Linked DNA regions of Anolis sagrei. The protein of the gene in region 2 binds, or shares a complex with, the protein of the main gene of each other region. Links are inferred from orthologs where the notes say so. Each region holds a gene or a part of one and is shown on either strand. Other genes may lie near its edges.

Evidence for each region.
Region 1: FNIP1 (region 2) and LAMTOR3 share a complex: the UniProt entries of both Homo sapiens proteins name them as parts of the lysosomal folliculin complex. The link is inferred for Anolis sagrei from reciprocal best matches to the Homo sapiens genes FNIP1 and LAMTOR3.

Annotation. Positions count from the first base shown.
Region 1 is NC_090025.1:26,543,727-26,551,236, reverse strand, and holds the start of LAMTOR3 (ragulator complex protein LAMTOR3), read left to right. Parts: upstream 1-2,530; 5' UTR 2,531-2,644; intron 2,645-6,630; 5' UTR 6,631-6,670; coding exon 6,671-6,679; intron 6,680-7,510. UniProt on the Homo sapiens protein: As part of the Ragulator complex it is involved in amino acid sensing and activation of mTORC1, a signaling complex promoting cell growth in response to growth factors, energy levels, and amino acids.
Region 2 is NC_090022.1:93,981,447-93,988,956, reverse strand, and holds the start of FNIP1 (folliculin-interacting protein 1), read left to right. Parts: upstream 1-3,015; 5' UTR 3,016-3,206; coding exon 3,207-3,304; intron 3,305-7,510. UniProt on the Homo sapiens protein: Binding partner of the GTPase-activating protein FLCN: involved in the cellular response to amino acid availability by regulating the non-canonical mTORC1 signaling cascade controlling the MiT/TFE factors TFEB and TFE3.

The DNA.
Region 1 (7,510 bases), on a different chromosome or scaffold from region 2:
CTTTTGTGCCGAGTTGTGAGTTTTCCGGGCTGTATGGATATGTTCCAGAAGCATTCTGTCCTGACGTTTTGCCTGCATCTATGGCAGGCATCCTCAGAGGTTGTGAGGTCTGTTTGAAACTAGGAAAATGGGGTTTATATATCTGTGAAATGTCCAGAGTGGGAGAAAGAATTCTTGTCTGTTTGAAGTAGGTGTGAATGTTTTAATTCACAACAAAGGATTCCTCCAGGCAGTAAGAAGCCAGACCTTGAAACCGCTAGGCCATTAAATGTTAATTAAGGTAGCCAATTGAAAGTTTCACCTACCTCAAACAGACAAGAGTTCTTTCTCCCACCCTGGACATTCCACGGATATATAAACCCCATTTTCCTAATTTCCAACAGACCTCACAACCTCTGAGGATGCCTGCCATAAATACAGGCGAAACATCAGGAGAGAATGCTTCTGGAACATGGCCATACAGCCCGGAAAACTCACAACAACCCAGTGATTCCGGCCATGAAAATGAAAGCCTTTGACAATTCATTGAGCTTTTACGTTTTGAGGTGGGATTCTTTGAATCTGTAAGAACAAGTTGACTTTGGAAATTAGTTTCCTATGAGACAAGAAAGCCACCTTGTCATTATTTAATAAACATTTTTAAAATCCATTAGTGGCCCACAATTTAAAAACTTTAATGGTCTTTGATGGGGTTTTGTGGAAACATAACAGAGTTTCATCTTACTGAATATAGTTGATGGAGAAGCTGATCCATTAGACTGAAATGATTGGTGCAGTTCTTGATGTTTAGCCTATGTTTTCTCAATAAGATATATTCCAAAACTGTCTGCACTGTGAAGGAAGACTTTCTAGTTTTTACAAGAAAGGAATGTCCATGTGCAATGTGATTCCCAAGTACATTAAAATAAACAGAATCATTCCTGCACTTAATAAATTGTAAAAAAAAAAAATTATCAATGCCCTACAGACAAATGATGTTTTCAGAACAATTGCTGTCAATGGATGACTTTCTGATAGTGACTACTAATTTCTTGGGATTGCATGAAACATGTCAGACTCTACAAGCATAACTTGACATTGGCAATAATAAGAGTTATTTTTAAGCAAGTGCTTAGGAATTGAACTGTCATGTGTGTCTCATGACAGCTCTAGAAACTGGAAAGGGCTTCAGTGTTAGTTTTGGAAGGGCTGATAGGATGAGAGATCTATTTGTGAATCATGCTTTGCCAGTTTATAACAGACACCCTGCAATTGAAATTCTATGAAATTGAGACTGGCATCTTAACAAAAATATATGTTATTTAACTGTAGATGTAATGTTAGATTTTTAAAAATCTAATTTGTAATTTACCTAATGTAATATCAGACTTGTATCAAAATAAAATTATTTTCGGTGTGAATAAAACATTTTTATCTGATTCTCTAGTTCTGTCACAGGTACTTGAATATAAAAAAAGGAGACAATTTACAAAGAGTTTATTTGCATTCCTGTTGTGGTTCATCTTTTTCAACTACAATATGTGTTTGTGAATAGTCACAATTTTAATTACCACTCTTCATGAGTTTGATCTATTCTTTCTGCTCTACTAATCAAAAAGTCTCTTCTACTGCTGCAAGGAATTTGGATCCAGTGGAGCTTCTTGGTAGGCAAGGAACTGCCTGGACTCTCCAGCTTGAGTCCATCTACACCAGGAATGGCCACACTTGGGCCCTCCAGGTGTTTTGGACTTCAACTCCCACAATTCCGAACAGCATGACCCCTACCGGCTGTTTGGATCTGGAGCAAACTTGGCATGAATATTCAATATGCCCAAGTGTGAACATTGGTGGAGTTGGGGGGAAATAGACCTTGACATTTGGGAGTTGTAGATGCTGGGATTTATAGTTCACCTACAATCAAATAGCATTCTGAACTCCACCAACGACGGAATTGACCCAATCTTGGCACATAGAAAAATACTGGAAGGGTCTGGTGGACACTGACCTTGAGTTTGGGAGTTGTAGTTCACCTACATCCAGGGAGCACTGTGGACTCACACAATGATGGATCTGGAGCAAACTTGGCATGCATACTCAATATGCCCAGATGTGAACATTGGTGTAATTTGGGGAAAATAGACCTTGAAATTTGGGAGTTGGAGTTGCTGGGATTTATAGTTCACCTACAATCAAATAGCATTCTGAACTTCACCAAAGAAAGAATTGGGCCAAACTTCCCACACTTCTGATGGTCCTTGGCGACCTTGGCGAGGATTGAGAAACACTGCTCTAGGCGGCCAATCCTTTTATTGGACTTCATTTCCCAGAAGCCTCAGATGCTTTCACCAACGATGGAGAATTCTGGGAGCTGAAGTCCAAACACCTGGAAAGACCCCACGCTTAAGACAATCATGCAACCAACCTCTCTACAGGTGATCATAAGCCTAATTGACGCTTGGGAGACACTGAACTGAACCACGTGGCTCCTCCCTCCCTCCCAAGGCCTGGCCCTCTCTCACCGGAAGTTCCCCTGCTCCAAAGCGGAAGTGAGGGACAGGAAAAGGGAAGAGAAAGTCTCCAGTCACATGACAGCAGAGGCTTGAAGGGGATGCAGCTGCGGATCCAGGCAGGACTTCTCAGGCGGGGCGCCCGGGAAAGAAGGGAGGTTTGTAACCAGAGGAAGGCACCAAGGGGGTGAATGAGAGGGGAAGGTTGCCAAGGGGTTAAAGGCGTCTTGCTTCCATTGCAGCAGGCATACTATGTATCCCACTCTTTCCCTCCTTTCTATAGTGTCTAGATCCAGGGAAGTCATGCCACCCCCTCTATTCTGCCTTGGTTAAACCACACCTGGAATCCTGTGTCCAATTCTGGCCACCACATTGTTGAATCTAAGTTGGAATGTGTCCAGATTAGGGCGACTAAAATGATCAAGGGTCTGGAGAACAAGCCCTAAGAGGAGTGGCTTAAAGAGCTGGGCATGTTTAGCCTGAAGAAGAGAAGGCTGAGAGGAGACATGATAGCCATGTATAAATATGTGAGAGGAAGCCATAGGGAGGAAGAGCTGCCCTGGTGACTAGGATGCAGAACAATGGCTTCAAACTACAAGAAAGAAGATTCCACCTGAACATTAGAAAGAATTTCCTGACAGTGAGAGCTGTTCAGCAGTGGAACTCTCTGCTCCAGAGTGTGGTGGAGGCTCCTTCTTTGAAGGCTTTTAAACAGACGCTGGATGGCTATCTATCAGGGGTGCTTTGAATGTGATTTTCCTGCTTCTTGGCAGGGGGTTGGACTGGATGGCCCACGAGGTCTCTTCCAACTCAATGATTCTATGATTCTGGAGACCATCGGTTCATTAATGCTGTTGGACACCCCTTTAACTGCCATAGCTCAGTGCTATGGAATAATGGGAGTTGTAGTTTTATAAGGTCTGTAGCTTCCTTTGCCAAAGAACACCGGTGCCTCCCCCCAAAACTACATCTCCATGATTCCACAGCTAGCATTGAGCCATGGCCCTTAAAGTGGTGTCATAGAATCATAGAGTTGGAAGAGACCTCATGGGCCATCCAATCCACTCCCTTGCCAAGAAGCAGGAATATTGCATTCAAAGCACCTCTGACAGATGGCCATCTAGCCTCTGTTTAAACACCTCCAAAGAAGGAGCCTCCACCACACTCCGGGGCAGAGAGTTCCACTGCTGAACGGCTCTCACAAGCTTCCTCCCTCCTCCCTGTGACTTCCTCTCACATATTTATACATGGCTATCATATCTCCTCTCAGCCTTCTCTTCTTCAGGCTAAACATGCCCAAAACTAAGACAAGTCAAACCCCCATTTTGGACTTTAGGAGAGCTGATTTCCGAAAAATGAAGGAAACACTGAGCAGAATTCCGTGGACAGATACTAAAAGACAAAGGAGTGTCAAACTGCATTAATTCTATGGTGCAGATGCACCCCATATCTTCAGAGAAGGAGCACCCGAGATCCATGACAATCTGGGAAGTTTGCATTCTTTCACGATTTCTAATTAAAAGGGTTGCTTTTAATTTGGCTGCTTCCATAGGTCTTGATTGAGGGAAGTACAGTAGAGTCTTGCTTATCCAACTTTCGCTCATCCAACGTTCTATATTGTCCAACGCAGTTCGCCTCCTTCCTGGATCCACAGCTGTTTCTATACAGTGCGACGTTTTGGTGCTAAATTCGTAAATACAATAATTACTACATCACATTACCATGTATTGAACTGCTTTTTCTGTCCATTTGTTGTAAAACATGATGATTTGGCGCTTAGTTTGTAAAATCATAATGTAATTAATAAGTTTTTCCTTAATCCCTCCTTATTATCATACATTTCCCCTTATCCAACATTCTGCTGGCCCATTTATGTAGGATAAGCAAGACTGTACTATAATACAGGTTGAACATCAATCATAAAAAGACTAAAAGAGACTCCCAAGGGCCATTCAGTTCAATCCCATTCTGCCATGCAGGAAGATGCAGTCAAAGCACTGACAGATGGCTACTCAGCCTCTTTTTGGGCTCTTCCATGCAGCCATAAAACCCAGAATATCAAGGCAGAAAATCTCACCAAAGGATCCCCCAGGCATCAACCAACCAGATTTTGAAGCTGCAAGGCCATGAAATGCTAATCAAGGTGGCCAGTTGCAACATTCACACTTGCCTCAAACAGACAAGAGTTCTTTCTCCCACCTTAGACATTCACAGATATATAAACCTCACTTGCTTGGCCCCATGCTAGCCGCTCCGAGTCCCCATTGGGGAGATGGTGGCAGGGTATAAATAAAGTTTATTATTATTATTGCCTAGTTTCCAACAAACCTCACAACCTCTGAGGATGCCTGCCATAGATGTGGGCAAAACGTCAGGAGAGAACGCTTCTGGAACATGACCATACAGCTTGGAAAACTCACACCAACCCAGTGAAATCCATGAAATCCATCAAGAACACATTATATCCCACAATGTCTGCTTTGAACTTGATTATCTGAGGGTCCTTCCACACAGCCCTATATCCCAGAATATCAAGACTGCAAATCCTACATTATTTGAGTGTGGATTCAGATAACTCAGTTCAAAGCAGATACTGTGGGATTTTCTGCCTCAATATTCTGGGATATATGGCTGTGTGGAAGGGCACTAAATTCAACTAAAGTAGATCCTTTGAATGGGTTGTTGTAGGTTTTTCCGGGCTATATGGCCATGTTCTGGAGGCAATTTTTCTCCTGACGTTTCGCCTGCATCTATGATGCAAGCGAAACGTCAGGAGAGAAATTGCCTCCAGAACATGGCCATATATCCCGGAAAAACCTACAACAACCCAGTGATTCCGGCCATGAAAGCTTTCGACAATACATAGATCCTTTGAATCTCAGAGATTTACATATGTGTTGATGCATTCATCAGTTATTGATTTAGTGGGCAAAGGTGAGGCTTAGCAGTTAGAATTCAGGCAAACAGTCGCTTCCTTGTTTGTTGTTACAGCAACATATATCCAATCCCTAAATTCCATTCAAACCTTATCCCAAATATTGTGTACAGTGAAATGACATGAAACACCTTTGCAGTAAATAGTTAACCAGCTCTCCAATCCAATAAGCCTTTATTAGCATGTATAATAATACTGTATTTTAATACAGTATAAATTATAGAGTAGCTGTCATGGCAGCCATTATTATTATTATTATTATTATTATTATTATTGGAATATTATAGAGCTGCTACGGTATTAGCCAGTCCAAAATGGAAGCACAAAGTGTGATTGGTTTTGTGTGGGAAAACCAGCATTCTTTTTATGTGTTATTTGGAAACTCAACAGAAGCCAATACAATCTGTATTACAATATTCACATAACTGGTTATGACTTCTGCCATGATTTCCCCCATGTTCTGTGTGTTGCAACAGTGTGATGACAGCGTTGATTGCATAAGTTTACATGGTTATCATTCAAGGATATGACAGTGTGGAATAACATCTCATGATTTCCTGATACAGCTTATCAAATGTTAGCAGCAAAAAAGCAAAAAAGTGTTTGTGATGCTTCTTTTATCCATTGTTTTGTGTGATTATAAAGCAGTACACTGGCCAAGACAGCAATATCCCATAAGCAAGGGGTGGGAAAGTATGTTTTTTTAATAGTTTGTTGTCAAAAGTTTTAATGGCTGGAATCACTGGGTTGGTATGAGTTTTCTGGACTGTATGGCCATGTTCCAGAAGCATTCTCTCCAGGAGAAAATGCTTCTGGAACATGGCCACACAGCCTGGAAAACTCACAGCAACCCAGTTTCTTTATAGTTGTTGGACTGCAGCTTTCAGCATTCCTTATAATTTCCTTGCTGGCTAGGACAAATGGGAATAGCAATCCAACAATATATAAAGGGCGACAGGATCCCCAGCCTGGCACTATTCTGTGATTTGTAAGTTGAGGATTTCCAAATCAGATAGAATAGGAAATGTGTGACTCTCTGGATGTTATTGGATTGCAACTCCCATCAGCCGTATCCAGCATAGCCAGTGGTACAAAATACCAAGTTGGAATTCCCTTTAGTGGGACTGCCATTCAAAACAGATTTTCCTACTTTGCTTTATTATCTTGTCACAAAGTGTGTAATTTGGTTTTTTTTCTTTGTTTCCCTAGTGATTGGTACAGTTTATTGGATTGTAACATTTGGGATAACATGGCTGATGTAAGTATAAATATAACTTGAATGCATTTCTGCACTTACTACTCAAACAATCCCTTGACAGGAATTTGACTTTTCTACTATTGTACTGTTTGTAAAAGATCAAAATCATTCCATTCGCAGTGCAATTTATAGAGTCCTGGGGGGGTTTCAGGATGTATTTATGAGTATGGGTGGAAAGAGCTGCTTATTCTAGGCCATGTTTGGGCAACCTGTGGTTCTTGGCTGATATCAGAAGTTCTCAAGTGATTAAATCAGACCTCCTGCAAGAGCTAAAGCTTTGGAAAGTTTTGGAAAGTTGCTTTTAGGAGATACAACTACCACAATTTCTCAGCCAGCAGGGCCTTGCTGGCTGAGGTAATTTCTAAACCTGTAATTTTGAATTACACATTAATTAATTACATTAAAAATGATATTTTCAAAGAGGGCTGAAAGAGAGAGATCATGAGGGAAATGGTTCAGGTCTTAATTACAATGGCCTTCAATGGGTTATGCAGCCTTTGGCAAAAGAAAATATATTTTCATTCCTGTTCCAATGTTGTATTTTTTTATCATGTCAGGAGCAACCTGAGAAATTGCAAGTCGCTTCCGGTGTGAGAGAATTGGCCATCTGCAAGGATGTTACCCAGGAGAGGCCTGGATGTTTTATCCTATGGAAGGCTTCTCACAGTCCCTACATGAGAAGCTGGAGCTGACAGAGGGAGCTCCCCCGCTCCCCAGATTTGAACCGCTGACCTTTTGGTCAGCAATCCTGATAGCAAAATTTCACCACTTGGGGCTCCTGTTCCAAAGTTAATTTCTATTCCAAAAGAGAGTTAGGAATCTTTTCAAAGA
Region 2 (7,510 bases):
TCAAACAGCTAAGTATTATGTTTCTCCTATTTCAATGATAGTGAGCTGAGGATTGGTGGCTTTCATGCAGCACTGATGAAATGGTTACAGATACTCTCCTGTTAACTTTGAGGTGTGGGAACATTGCAGCAGGACTGCTCCCTCTGCCAGAAAGAGCACATGCTTCAACTCTTCCCCATAATAGCACTCCCCGGAGAGCAGGACAGGGATGATGATAGGAGGCCTTGCAATGCTGGCCACTTCCACATGGCTTGCTGTGTAGAGCTCTCATTCTGCAAAGGGACTGTAAGGCTGGGGCCTTCTTGGCTCTTATATTCTAGAACAGTATGTACTGAAACAAATGGCAGGAAAAGGTAGAAGTGGGAGATGCCAGAAAATGTTGCTCTTAGTCTGTGTTCCAGTTCATATCCTCTAGGAAACTCCATTCCATTATACCTCCTCGCACAATTGGAGTCCAGTCGGATGGGGAAAATGTGAAGGCCAAATGAGGACTCCAGGAGGTGTAGGTTTGGCTCCCGAGCCTGAAATTCCCAACCCCTGCTATACATATGATTTGAAATTACAACTTCTTCTCCATTTGTGTGCAGATATGATGAGAATGATGCTGCTTTTATGATCCTCTTGCCGTCAGGCTACAATGTATGGGTTGATTTTGATATGACCTGTGGATAATTTGTGGGTCAAACCAAGGAGACAGAAAGCACCACTGTCACCTCATTCCAAACCACCACTGCCCTTTGGGAATCCAGGCAGGAAAAAGGCCAGAAGTGGTGCCATGGCCGTGAGAGTAGAAAGATGGGTGCTGCTTTTAGGTCAGTGGTTCCCAACCTTTAGTCCTCCAGGTGTTTTGGACTTCAACTTTCAGAAATCCCAGCTATTAGGAATTGTGGGAGCTTAAGTCCAAAACACCTGGAGGACCAAAGGTTGGGAAACATTGTTTTAAGTTCTTTTGGGATGGACTAATCTCTCTTCTTTGGCTATTCTACGCAGAGAGGGAGGTGGTTCCTTTTTTTTATGAGTTACTTACGGTACATTGACCTATGGAGAAGTCAGCCCAGTTTTGTGGGGGCTGTTTTTTTATATTTTTTTATTACAAAAGTGTATAAATTTATACTTGAGTATACATAGCACGGTTTCCAGGATTTTATTTGGTGCCATCTGTTGAACGTGATAGAATTATAAGCATGGGCTTTCACAAACATCATCATTTCTGTGTTGTCGAAGGCTTTCATGGTCGGAATTATTGGGCTGCTGAGAATTTTCTGGTCTGTATGGCTGTGTTCCAGAAGCATTATCTCCTGACGTTTTGCCCACATCTATGGCAGGCATCCTCAGAGATCATGAAGTTTGTTAGAAATTAGGCCGACTTTCCAACAGACCACACAACCTCTGAGGGTGCCTGTCATAGATGTGGGTGAAACGTCAGAAGATAATGCTTCTGGAACACAACCATACAGCCTGGAAAATTCACAGAAACCTATTAACATTTCTCTCCTGATTCTTTCTGGATGTTGTCATAATCACAAGCAGAAGCTAGAATTTTGACAGTCTTGTGGGTTATTCTGGATTCTTAATGAAAAAAGGAGAACACTTTTTTGGATCCTTCGACAATACTTATTTGGATCCTTTACTTTATTCTACACAATAGTACAATAGCTGAGTTTGAACAAAACAAAGTGTGTCCCTCACTTTTGTTGTAAGAACTGAAAGTACTAACTCAAAGGAGCAGCTAAGGAAACAGATTCTCCAAAGTAGATGCAATATTGATTACTGTGAATGTTCAGGTTGTGAGGCCTCTGAGGATGCCTGCCATAGATGTGGGAAAAATGTTTTGGGGGGTGGGTGGGGGCTTAGTCTGAGTGAGAGAGAATCTACTCTAGCCAACCTTTTATATCGTTATCCCAACACCCCCATGCATATGAGATATATTGAGGATAGTGCCGGCGCACTCCCCTTCCTCTCCCGGCACCGAAGGCTGAAATCAAAGGAAAGAGAGTGCGCTGATGGCCCAGGTGTGGACAAGGACGCCACCGTGCCACGTACCAGTAAGGCCTTCTCGTGGATCACCCTGAGAATTTCGGGGGGGGGGGGGGGGGGGGGACTGAAGCCCCTCAACCCCCCCCCCCCCCCGCTACATAAGGTTTTAAATTTTGTGTTATTGCTTATATGTGAGTTATATTAATTGTACTGTTTTATTGTTTGCTGCTTTGCTTTTACTGATGTGTTGTTGGGCTTGGTCTCACGTAAGCCGCCCTGAGTCCCCTTGGGGAGATGGTGGCGGGGTGTAAAGTTTTTATTATTATTATTACATGTGACTATGAACTTAAAATCAGTTCATGTGACTATGAACTTAAAATCAATGCTTCATCACGCTAGAGAATGAACCCACTTTAAATCTGGTTTCTGCCTCCTGCAGAATTCTGGGGTTTGTAGTTTAGTGAGGGGCCTTTCACAGCCTCACTAAGCTACAAATCCCAGGATTCTGCAGGAGGCAGAAACTGGATTTAAAGTGGGTTCATTCTCTAGAGTGATTATGTGGTTAAAACCATTGGGTCTACACTGACCACATGATGCAGTTCCAAACTGCATGATATGGCAGCGAAGATAGGACAACCAGTTGCATCCCTTATCGAGCTCTGGAGCTGCAGCTCTTTAATCAAGGCGAGGGAGGAGGGGGAGAAATCAGTTTTGAAAAAAAGCAAAACACAAACGACGATTGAGGATGTTTCCTTTTGTTTTTGCGAGCCAACCCCCTCCTTGCTTGAGAGTGTGCTTGGAAGGGGGCGGTGGATTGGGGCCAAATTTGGCGGGAGAGATCTCCCCCTTCTTCCTCTTCTTCCTTCTCCTCGTTGCCTTCCTTTCTGGCCCCAAAACACACCCTGCCTCTGAGCCGCGCCAAGCCCCGCCCCTGTGCCACGTGAGCAGGCCTCCTCGGCCAATCCGCGGCGGGGAAGCCCTCCCCGAGCCCCGCCCCTCTCCTTCCCTCGCCGGGGCTTCTCCGAGTGATTAATTTTTGTCATATGACTGTCACACGCGCGGGCGGGCGGGCGCCTTACACACACACACATACACACACACAGGGAGAGAGAGGCGGCGAGGGAGACAAGGCGGGCCGAATGGACTCGCCTTGGCGGAACTAGCTGCCTTTGCTGCTGCTGCTGGGAGGCAGGCGAGGGACCCTCCTCCTCCTCCTGCTTGCGCCCACCATGCCCCCCACGCCCACCCTGTTGCAGAAGCTTTTCAACAAGAGGAGCAGCGCCTCGCCTTCGCCCGCCAAGGAACCCAAGGAGGAGTGCGTCCTCAGGTAGGGAAAAGAGGAAGGGAGGGAGGGAGGGACCCCCAGGAGAGGGGCTTCCCACCTTGCCCCCCCCCCCCACCCCGCTTACTCTCTTTCTTCTTGGCCTCCTCAGTAAACACAATGCAGGAAGGGCCAGGAGGGCTCCCACATCGCAGAACTTCTTTTTGCATTGTCGAAAGCTTTCGTGGCCGGAATCACTGGGTAGCTGAGAGTTTCCTGGGCTGTATGGCCATGCCCCAGAAGCATTCTCTCCTGACGTTTCACCCGCATCTATGGCAGGCGTCCTCAGAAGTTGTGAGACCTCGCAACGTCTGAGGATGCCTGCCATAGAGGCAGGCGAAACGTCAGGAGAGAATGCTTCCGGAACATGGCCATACAGCCTGAAAAACTTAAGCAACCCACTTTTTGTGTGTGTGTGCTTCATTTGCAATACTGTGGCACAGGCATGGGCAAGCTGAGCTCCAGATGTTTTGAACTTCAGCTTCCACAATTCCTAACAGCCTGATACTCTATGAATACATTCAGTGGTCCTCAACCTGTGGGTCCCCAGGTGTTTTGGCCTACAACTCCCAGAAGTCCCAGCCAGTTTACTAGCTGTGAGGGTTTCTGGGAGTTGAAGGCCAAAACATCAGGGGCCCAACAGGTTGAGAACAACTGTACTAGGTATACTCTATACCAGGCATCCTCAAACTGCAGCCCTCCAGCTGTTTGGGACTTCAACTCCCAGAATTCCTGACAACTGAACAAGCTTGTTAGGGCTTCTGGGAGATGGAGCCCCAAGCAGCTGGAGGGCCACAGTTTGAGGATGCCTGCTCTATACATTCCATGTATCTATAGTATCATTCACAACCTCCCCAGTTCTGAGTATTGCCCTTCACTGGGTGCATCTACACTGTGGAATTAACCTAGTTTGGCACCACTTGGCTTCATCCTGTGGACTCCTTGGGGTGTATTATATTTTTATAAGACCTTGTGAGGAAAGCCACCACTCTCAGCACTGAGCTGTGGCAGTCCAAAGTGGTGCCCAAACTGCATTAATCCTACAGTGTAGGTGCAGCTCCCTCCCTTTCCAACTTCTAGAGCAGTGGCTCTCAACCCGGGGTCCCCAGATGTGTTTGGCCTACAACTCCCAGAAATCCCAGCTAGTTTACCAGCTGTTAGGATTTCTGGGAGTTGTAGGCCAAAAACATCTGGGGACCCCAGGTTGAGAACCACTGTAGAGGATCTCAAGTGGAAATCGCCAGGAGGAAGACCCCTAATAACAAGACAAAAGTTCTTTCTCCCACCCTGGATACTCCACAGATATATAAACCCCATTTTCCTAGTTTCCAGCAGACCTCACGACATCTGAGGATGCCTGCCATAGATGCAGGTGAGACGTCAGGAGAGAATGCTGCTGGAACATGGCCATACAGCCTGGAAACTCACAACAACCCAGCCCTAATAACTCTAAGGCTCACTTCCCCTGGCTTCCCCCTTCCTGCAACGTTGCTCCTTCCTGCCTCTTTCACTTTCTCAGTCCAGCCATACAGCCTTGCTTTCCTTCCTCCCTTCAACTCTAAAATTGTTCAGCTCCCTTTGAAACGTGGACATTCAGGGCTGGAGAGCAGTAGAGAAATTTCTTCATTACTGTGAAAGAGACAAAATCGAGCCATTTTCCTCCTTTTGGCCGATTTTTGAACTCTTCCTCTTTTCTCTTTCACTCTCCTCCCTCTTCCTCTCTTTCTCTCCTTTTGCAAACTTTCCTTGTTTGTGTGCATGCACACTGTAGAATGGATGCAGTTTGACTGCTTTCTGGTTTGGTGAGGCGTCGCTACCCTTAGACCCTTCCACACAGCTGAATAAAATCCCACATTTTCTGCCTATGGCAGTGTGGACTCAGTTAACCCAGCTCAAAGCAGATATTGTAGGATTTTCTGCCTTGATATTCTGGGTTAGAGGGCTGTCTGGAGGGTTTCTTTGTCAGATGGCCTTTCTGGTTTCTCCCTTTGTCAGAGAAGGCTAAACTAGCAAAGCTAGTAGCCATTAACCTGTTGTCAGATTGCATTGTTAGATGATGTACCCCTTGCTGCTGAGTTGGGAAGAAGGGGTGGAGTAGTCTTTTCCTTCTCTTTTGCCAGCCATGACTTTCCTTTTCTGCAGAAAGGGTTGGGGTGATCCGGGCAGTGATTTGGACCTCTCTCTCTGTGTTTATAAAAAATTGAAATGAAGGTTGACATTTCCCTTGGCCGCTTTCCTTGGAAGGGGAAGAGGATGGCAGTGTGCCTGGCCAGAGCCACCTTAAATCTGCAACTTGGGCCGCTGCCTCTTGCTTGACAGCGGATGAGGAGTGTAGGGTTACCAGAGAAATCAGTCAGGATCCTTCCACAACAGAGGAACCTTGCCTGGCTGGGCTTTTCTGGCTCTCCCTTTATCTTGCTGTTGTAACAACAACATCAACAGAAATGTGACTAGTGAGAGTCTTCTTGAACTCTCGAAATGATCATCTTACAATGTGTGTATATCTCTTTTGTGTACTGTTGGTATAATTTTGTCCTGAAGATGGAGGCCTAAATCCAGCTGCTTAAAGTTAGAAGTGTGGCTTTTAGAAGTTCTTGCTGGTTCAATAATGTTTGGGATTAGATTTCTGATCAAGGCTGCCTCTTCACTGTATCATAGAATCATAGAGTTGGAAGAGGCCTCATGGGCCATCCAGTCCAACCCCCTGCCAAATAGCAGGAAAATTGCATTCAAAGCACCCCCCACAGATGGCCACCCAGCCTCTGTTTAAAAGCCTCCAAAGAAGGAGCCTCCACCACACCCCGGGGCAGAGAGTTCCACTGCTGAACAGCTCTCACAGTCAGGAAGTTCTTTTTATTGTTCAGGTGGAATCTCCTTTTCTGTAGTTTGAAGCCATTGTTCCATGTCCTAGTCTCCAGGAAAGCAGAAAACAAGCTTGCTCCCTGCTCCCTATGACTTCCCCTCATTTATAAATGGCCATCATGTCTCCTCTCAGCCCTCTCTTTTTCAGGCTAACCATGCCCAGCTCTTTAAGCCACTCCTCATAGGGCTTGTTCTCCAGACCTTTGATCATTTTAGTCGTCCTCCTCTGGACACATTCCAGCTTGTCAACATCTCCCTTCAATTGTGCCTGGAATTGGAGACAGTATTCCAGATGTGGTCTAACTAAGGCAGAATAGAGGGGTAGCATGACTTCCCAGGATCTAGACACTATACTCCTATTTATGCAGTTTGACACTACTATTTATGTAGAAGTAATTCAGTTTGACACCACTTTAAGTAGCATGGCTGGATGCTATGGAATCACAGGAGTCGTCGTTTCATAGAGCCATTAACCTTCTCTGCCAAAGAGTGCTGATACCTTCCCAAATAACAATTCACAGGATCTCATAGCATTGATGCATGTTTAAAGTAGTGTCCAACTGCATTCATTCTACAGTAGTCATTAGCAAACTTTGACCCTCCAGATGTTTTGGACTTCAACTCCCACAATTCCTAACAGCCTCAGACCCCTTCCTTTTTCCTTTCCCTTTTCCCTTTCTTGCTTAAGTGGCTGAGGGGGGAAAGGAAAGGGTCTGGAGCTGTTAGGAATGGGAGTAGAAGTCCAAAACACCTGGAGGGCCCAAGTTGGCCCATACCTGGTATAGATGCACCCTAGAGTGCTGACCAAGGCTGAACTCTTCTAGAAGTCAAAGTGACTAAATGGAGGTTGTTTTACTTTGAACATATTATAAGATGATATGATTCATGAGAAAGGAGGCTAATGTTGGGGAAAGTGGAAGGTAGAAGGACAAGAGGAAGATCACATTATAGAAGGAAGCCAAAGCCCTGATTTTGCAGACATGAGTTAGGGCGACTCATAAAGGTCTCTCTCCTTCATGGGGTCACCATAAGTTGAAATGGCAGACAACAGCTTGGGAGTATTAGTTTGATTTAGACCAAGTTTTAGTCATGGCAAGAGCAATGGAAAGAACTCCACGTCCAATACAACTCTTGTATCCATTATATATTGTTCCACTTATTCACAGTTTCACTTTCTCGGTTATTTACTTTGAGCCGTGGTGTCCAATCTTTTGACTTCCCTGGGCCACATTGGAAGAAGAAGAATTGTCTTGGGCCAAACAGTGCCATAAAACTGAAGGCACACCTGAGTACAAAAAACGAGAGTGTGGCGTGCAGCAACACAATACTTAGTATAGAATACATACTTGG